2 linked regions of the Bombyx mori genome follow. The protein of the gene in region 1 interacts with the protein of each later gene in a pairwise test. Links are inferred from orthologs where the notes say so. Each region holds a gene or a part of one and is shown on either strand. Other genes may lie near its edges. The genes, in order: phosphatidylinositol-3-phosphatase SAC1 and vesicle-associated membrane protein-associated protein B.

Evidence for each region.
Region 2: the proteins of phosphatidylinositol-3-phosphatase SAC1 (region 1) and vesicle-associated membrane protein-associated protein B interact in a two-hybrid assay, tested with the Drosophila melanogaster proteins (2 studies listed by BioGRID). The link is inferred for Bombyx mori from reciprocal best matches to the Drosophila melanogaster genes Sac1 and Vap33.

The regions. Positions count from the first base shown.
Region 1 is NC_085126.1:9,639,908-9,643,737, forward strand, and holds part of phosphatidylinositol-3-phosphatase SAC1, read left to right. Parts: intron 1-304; coding exon 305-472; intron 473-1,092; coding exon 1,093-1,194; intron 1,195-2,683; coding exon 2,684-2,820; intron 2,821-3,145; coding exon 3,146-3,233; 3' UTR 3,234-3,830. UniProt on the Drosophila melanogaster protein: Phosphoinositide phosphatase which catalyzes the hydrolysis of phosphatidylinositol 3-phosphate (PtdIns(3)P) and phosphatidylinositol 4-phosphate (PtdIns(4)P). Has low activity towards phosphatidylinositol-3,5-bisphosphate (PtdIns(3,5)P2).
Region 2 is NC_085107.1:10,902,665-10,907,250, reverse strand, and holds the start of vesicle-associated membrane protein-associated protein B, read right to left. Parts: upstream 3,016-4,586; 5' UTR 2,634-3,015; coding exon 2,582-2,633; intron 8-2,581; coding exon 1-7.

The sequences.
Region 1 (3,830 bases):
TTAATTATTACCCCAAAATATTTTTGTGTAAGTTGATATTACCCCATGGCGAAGAACAGAAAAAAAACGAAATCGCTTCTTTTTAGTATCTTTCATATTATAGCCCCCATGATAATTTTGAAAAGAATGCAATAATAAAAAATTTAACGTTTCTGAAGAAGTTTTACTTCAATATATATTTTTTACTCGCAAAAGTTTCATTTTTACCCCCCAAAATTTCATTTTACCCAATTTGGGGTAATTTACCCCGGTTCCCCGACCGCTGAACTAGAGTATGATGTAAGCATGAGTGTTCGATGGTCAGGTGTGGGCGGATCACGCGGACGCCATCTCCACGCAGTACTCCGGGACGGGCGCCCTGAAGACGGACTACACGCGCACCGGCAAGCGCACGCACGTCGGTCTGTTGCGCGACGGCATCAACTCCCTCACGCGATACTACAAGAACAACTTCAGCGACGGCTTCAGACAGGTGCCGCCAATAGCTCCTCCAGAGCGTCTCCTGAGACGCCATTGAGAGTCCCAAATTGTTCCCGACGCTGATGTAAACGGCGAGGGAACGTATTGTCGACAGTATATCAAACACCATCTTATTTGGTTTCCATTCCGCGGTTCTCAAAATTGCAAAATTTTTTTTATTGCTCAGATGGGTAGACGAGCTCATAGTTGTGGTGTTAAGTGGTTACTTTAGCCTGTAGACATCTGCGACGTAAATGCACCACCCAACTTGAGATATGAGTTCTAAGGTCTCAAGTATAGTTACAACGGCTGCGCCACCCTTCAAACCGAAACGCATTGCTGCTTCACGGCTAAAATAGGCAGAAATATATTACAATTTATGGAATACTGTTACAATTTGTACAGTAGATTGTGGGGAATCGGGATGCTTTCCAATTCCAACACAAATTTTCAGCGGTTTTACTTAGGGTAATAACAATAAAATTTATATTAAAATGGTTCCGGAGGCTTAAATTTTTATATACGATACATTATTAGATATAGTTCATTGAAAAATAATAAGAAAGAAATAGTACGTACTACCCTATAAATATAATATACTTATCCTATAAAGTTTGATTGTTTAATTCCCAGGACTCAATAGATCTGTTCCTGGGTAAGTACGTGGTCGCTGAGGGCGAGGGTCTGGCCGCCCCGAGCCCTCTGAGGAGAGGACACGACTGGAAATATATCACGGTAAATATCTCGTTTCGTTATTTCTAACTACCGCCACTTTTAATTCTGTGAAATATCAAACCAATTCCTAAACGCATTCGACATCTTTGATTTTAAAATGTAGCTATCTCGCTCTTTACTTAACCTCTCTCTTGTCTTTTCCTAATAGGGCTTATCAATTAATTAAGTGTTTTAATCTATAAATGTATGAAAAAAACAATTTCATTATAAAAGTACCGTCATTTTATTCCAAATACTAAGAAAATGATTTTTCTTGGTAACAATAATGGTAGTTCGAGGATGATGAACAATGATTATATACCTTTTTTTTTATTGCTTAGATGTGTGGACGAGCTCACAGCCCGACTGGTGTTAAGTGGTTACTGGAGCCCATAAACATCTGCAACGTAAATGCGCCACCCACCTTGAAATATAAGTTCTAAGGTTTCAAGTATAGTTACAACGGCTGCCCCACCCTTCAAGCCGAAACGCATTACTGCTTCACGGCAGAAATAGGCAGGGCGGTGGTACCTACCCGTGCGGACTCACAAGAGGTCCTACCACCACTTCGTTGGTTCCTTAACTGAGGATCTCGATAATCCGACAAATCGAATGGCTGCCTCTCTTTATCACGGGTCTGAAGAAGACTAGCGTTGGGAGATAGAGGATTTCTGGTTCTCCTAAATCTAGTTTCTTTCTGTTGCCTTTGTAGGCAGATAGGCATACCACTCATCTGATCTCCAGCGTAGTCACCGTTGCTCATGGATATCAGCTATGCCATCAGCTATGTTATGCCAGATATTAGAACTCATATCTCAAGGTGTGTCTCTCGGCATTTACGTTGTAGATGTCTATGGGCCGGCCTTAATTATTTTTTTATTTCAGGACATAATATAAATCATACAAGACTTGGGTTCTGCCTTTTTAAAAATTTATTTCAGAAATTATATAGAACAGAAAAGACTGTAAGAGCTTAGATCCCCTTGCCTATCTCAATAAGGAAAAATGGTACCAAAAAAAATGTCTATGGGCTCCGGTAACCACTTAACACAAGGTGGGCCGTGAGCTCGTCCGCCCATCTAAACAATAAAAAAAGTAGTATCAGTAATAGTGGAGCCTACAGTAAAATTACAATACTGCCCTTGGCTATTACATTACTGCATGTTTCCGCCCTGGAAGATTATGCGTTCGGGCTTACAAGCAGAGAAGCTGTGCTAATAATACTTTTTTTTGTATTGCTTAGATGTGTGGACGAGCTCACAGCCCACCTGATGTTAAGTGGTTACTGGAGCCCATAGACATCTACAACGTAAATGCGCCACACAACTTGAGATATAGTTCTAAGGTCTCAGTATAGTTACAACGGCTGCCCCACCCTTCAAACCGAAACGCATTACTGCTTCACGGCAGAAATAGGCAGGGCGGTGGTACCTACCCGCGCGGACTCACAAGAGGTCCTACCACCAGTAAATGATTATGTCATTAAATGATTATAATGTTGTTGCGACAGCTCCCTTCCGTGCTGCTGGTTGCCATGTCAATGTTCTGCGCCCAAGCGGTGCTGCCGGCGCGCTACTCCAGCGAAGTGCTGCTCTACCTCATGTTCTGGGGGGCGGCTGCTGGAGCGACGCTCTCCTACATCGTCAGGTATCTCTATTGACATTCGATCGAATTCGAACCTAGTGCAGACTTCAGCTCTTTCAAAGGCCTACAAAATAAATTATAAGGTTAATTTCCATTTGTATTTGTACCTATACCTTTAAGAGAGAAATATTTTTTTATTGCCTTTGTAGGCAGACGAGCGTACGGCCCACCTGACGGTAAGTGGTTACCGTCGCCCATGGACTTCAGCAATGCCAGGAGCAGAGCCAAGCCGCTGCCTACTGCAAAAATTATTATTATTATTATTATCGTCTGTTTTCGGAAGAGGTCTCCTAACACCCATTACAATAATATGTTTCGTGTCTCGCAGGCACGGCGCGGAGTTCGTGGACTGGCCGAGTCTGGACGCCGGGGGCCTGGCGTCGGCGCGCGCCCTCGCCGCCCAGCAGTCTTTATGATCGATGACCTGCCGCTCGTAGTCGTCGTGTAGCCATCTCGCTCGCACCCGCCGCGCGCTCCCCGGACCGAGGGGGACAGGTGATCTATCGCAGCTCCTCGCGCGTCCCCGTACGGCTCGCTAGTTCTTCGTTCACTTAGTGCGAGTTTTTTAACGTTGTCGATAGCGTAAAAGTTAACTCAACTTTGTATGCAGTTGGAACAGCGCCCCTAGCGGCAAACTTAAGCAATCGTTCCAATTCCTCGTGTACCAATTTTGCTAATGAAATACGTACTCAACAAATGTTCACGATTGACTTCCACGGTGAAGGGATAACATCGTGTAATAAAAATGAAACCCGTAAAATTATAATTTGCGTAATTACAGGTGATAGGACCTCTTGTGAGTCCGCGCAGATAGGTACCCCCGCTCCGCCTATTTCTGCCGTGAAACAGTGATGCGTTTCGGTTTGAAGGGCGGGGCAGCCGTTGTAACTATACTGAGACCTTAGAACTTATATCTCAACGCGGGTGGCGCATTTACCTTGTAGATGTCTATAGGCTCCAGTATCCAGTTAACACCAGATGGGCTGTGAGCTCGTACATCCATCAAAGCATTA
Region 2 (4,586 bases), on another chromosome or scaffold:
AAATTAACTAAAATAATCAATTATATGATTATGTTCATTCACAAAAGGAAAGAATATATAAATAGAAAACGAAAACTAGTTTTCCCTATACCAGTGAATACACATATATATATTTGAATATATATAATATAATATAATATAGAGGCTTAGCATATAGATACACATTAAACAGTGATTACCACGCAAATATTTGCCCATAGTATATTGAAATATACAGTAATATGGTATTCTAGTACAGTATATGATTCTAATAAATAATATTAATAAAATTATAGTTACTAATATTTATTGTGATACTGTATCAATGGATAAAAATAAACTCCCTATTACTATGAATGAATTATTTTACTAAAGCTTGATTGCCAGATTTTAGAATAATAGTAATTTAAATCTGTTACTAATAATAGTCTTTGATATTCGAAATATTTTTATTTATTTATTGCCAATATCACAGTCCCAAAAGTATCCAGTTAGTTTGTTGTACATAGACCCTGATGTGAACTCAGGCAACAAGAGAGATGTGAACTCAGGCAACAAGAGAGATGTGAGGTTCTAGATGGGATGCACTACTCAACAATATGGGCATTACAGCATACTTCAACATTCAACATACTAGTTAGCACCCCTGACAATTGTGTCGAAGGTTGTGTTGAACAATCTTGTTTGCTCTTTGTCTAAGTGTTTATTATCTGTATTTGTATATATTTAAAAACAGGTAACCATGTTTGTCAGTCTCTGGTACCCATAGCACAGGAAATCCTAAGTCGGAGCCGCATGACCATGCATAATTTGTTCCCAGTTTTTATTTAAAATATTATTAAATGTTTTTAGTTTATAAAATAAAATATTTTAATTTAGGTACAAGTTACAAACAGTAATCCAGTCTCAATCTAGGACTTCCTGTACTATGGCACTCAGAGACTGATTTAGATACTAATTTATCTAAATATATAGATATTCATCACTGAGAAATATACATAATTTCCAAAAAAAACTCAATATTTTTTATTTCTATTGCCTTTGTAGGCAGAACATCTGGCCCACATGGTGGTGAGTGGTTAACGTCCAAATTGGTCAGCAATGTCTAGGGCAAAATCAAGTTCCTGCATACAAATTTAGCTTATTATCGGCCATTGTGTATTAAGTCTAGGGAAATTGTTATCAATGTTTATTCTTCTGACTACAAATACACAATATTCCTGCCTATTAGAACTGATGCTTGCAAAACAGATAAAGTATCTTAATTAATGGAAAAATAAACAAAGAAACTACAAGTTTAAGGTAATGACTACTACAAACACATTAACGTTATGTTTTGTCATTTTACCCATTAGCTGTTAACTTATTAGTCTAATTAAGAGACCTATATACATACAATTATTTTACTATGAATCAATAATATTACTGATAAAATTAATTAGTCAAGATTACAATGATATAATATATATATGAAGTTGCACAAAATAAGCTAAGAGTTTTCAGACTATACAGCAAAAAAAATTAAACGTCTATTGCTAAATAATTCATGTAAATTCTTAAGTTATTTTGTATATGTTTAAAATGAAACTACATTTACTGTGAATTTCTATCCCCGATTCACTAGGCTTACACGCTTCTCAGTAGTCTACTGGGCCAAGGAGGCTGCCTTAAATAGAAATTGTACTAAAAATATGCATAGCTGTGCAATGAAGATATGAAACAACCACAAGCTTGTGGTCATAGTAATATGTTATACCTGTGATTGTAACAGCAACGTAATGTCCTGTAGACTAAATAGCTAGTATAAAAAAGATCTGGTTCTAATGTGTTCATTCTCACTTTCTATTCACACAAACGTAAAGTTTTATAGTTTATAAATGAAAACTTGTTTTACTTCAATAAAATACATACAACTTAAATATTAGTCAAAGGTCAAAGTTGAAATATAGTGACAAATTATAACTGCATTTAGAATATAAATAAGTTACCAGTTTTTAGTGTTGCCTCTTTCCTAACAGTAGTCTTTTTGGTTGCTATGTATGTTTTTTCATCACATTTACAATCATATTAAAATTAACTAAGAATAGATAGTCTTATCTGATACTACTACTGACTAGACATTCATTTTGTTTCATGTAATAATTTCAAAAATTTCAGTGCCTATTTAAATTATGTATATTCAAGAGCATCAGATTAATAAAGAAATACCAACATCACTAGTTTATTTTGTTTAAATACCTAACACTTTCTAAGATAGTTACTTTTCAATGAAACAGCCTGTACTAATATAATTAAATACAAAGCGTATGTATCGCATATTATAGCTAAGCCATTTATGTTTGTGAAAATGATCTCCAGGAACCACAGATATATTAATATGACTAGGACTCATTTAAAGTTGATAATATTAGTAATCGGAATAAATACATACTCTACTTGGATAATATACAAAAGATAATGAAAAAACCGGAACTTAACAAAAAGCCGATATCTGGAAATAGAAACTCCATTTGTCAGCATCTAGCTAACGACCTATGTCTGCTTCACAAGTTTCAATGCGGCGATTAATAGCGTAAAGTTAATCAAACATTGTGATTCTCACCTTTAAATTTTAATTCATTTTGTGGTTCGATAGTTAGCACTTGGTTAGGCATTTTATTGTACTATAAGCACAGTATCTCGTTGGCAAAATTTAACAGATTGAGAAAAAATATCTTTCCGCGATGTCGGCCAAAGCGAACGAGAATTGTGGAATGACGAATAGACATGCGCAGAGCACTGCGCATGCGTTGTCTCTTTCCTTTCGAAGGCGTATATTCTGAGAGCTATTTGTATTTTATGAATAGAAATCAAAAAATCACAATTAATGTAGGCAAAGGTAAAATGAACTAAATATGCGCAATAAGTTTCTAGTAAATATTTTTAGGCAATATTTTTTTTTATAAATTATGAAAACTAAGAAGTAATTTCTATATTTTTAAAAGGTTTTCAGAATAGTTACATTCAATATAGATCTGTTTTGTGACGTCTACGATTTCACTGCGTGCGCAATCTTTTCAATTTCCTACTAAATCCATTGAAACTATAGAACTTAATTATTTCTAGATTAGGTCGAACCGTTCCTAGTTCTTTTTATGTTGGTAGAAGTCTTGTAGGCATATGAAAATTAAATGCCGCAGAGAATGACGATATAAAAGAAAATATGAACTATTTAAAGTAAATTGATCTTTAGAGTTTAATAATCTTTCACTACCAGTTAGTAAGTGTAAGTGATTATGTTCTCTTTGTTATTGAACCAGGTTAAAAACTGCTAAGTAACTAATTGGAGAATAATAGTTAGTAATGAATATACTAATTTGAATATACTAATTTGAATGTCTAGTTACCATCGTAATAATGGTACTACAATATTTCTTCCTAGTTGTAGGTAGTAAAATTCTACACGACCAGGAGAAGAAAAACAGGCACTACCTACAACATTTAAAAAAAATACATGTCTCAAATAAAGAAAAGTTATTTAGATAGAACAATACTGTTGCTTGGTCACATGCTAGGAATACCAAGCAGTATTAGAGTGTCGAAAGACATAAAGAATACGTTCATGAAACTGACTAGATTAACAAACCTTACAAAAACTTGACGGACTGTATTTGACTTAGTTTTAATCTAATTTTACATAATATATTTCATATTGCTATGTTAATATGATTTTGATATATAAATTCAATTTTTATTTTAAAATTACTTATTTAGCTTAAATTTAGTTATCTGTGCTTAAAGATCGTTGAATTTTTAAGCTATTGCATAGATTTTATCGCGGGCCTTGAGCACGGCGATCGAATCATGAAATTCCGTAACGAAAAAAACCTTACACCCCTCACTCCGCCTACCATGTAGCTCGCGTTCAACACATTCATACGTTGCGCTTGTGTAGTGTTTGTGAATAAGCGCGTGGCGTGACGTCACACTGCATGCGCATGTGTGTGCATCATTAAATTATTGATTTCTTTTTTATTTATTTAGACATATGATTTTTTTAAATTTTGTACCAGTGATTGGATTCTTTGCATAAGCCGACTTCTTGAACTACTTTATACTTTTTTCTTTGCATAGATGGGTGGACGAGCTCACGGCCCACCTGATGTTAAGTGGTTACTGGAGCCCAGATACATTTACAACTTTTTTTTGTTTGTTTTATTGTATAGATGGGTGGACGAGCTCACGGCCCACCTGATGTTAAGTGGTTACTGGAGCCCAGATACATTTACAACCTTTTTGTTGTTTGTTTTATTGCATAGATGGGCGAACGAGCTCACAGTTTTCTTTTATATCGTTCCCTCACTACTGAGGATCGCGACCACATGCGATGTACTTCCAATGCACCCGATCATGGGTGGCATGGACTGTATGGTACAGACTACCACCGAGTGCTTCTCTTGCTAGATCTGACCATCTGGCTGGTGTTCTGCCCAACACAACTCACAGCCTACCTGATGTTAATTGGTTACTGGAGCCAGATACATTTACAACTTCTTTTTTAAGCTATTGCATAGCTTCTATCGCGGGCCTTGAGCGCGGCGACTGAATCAAGAAACTCCGTAACGAAA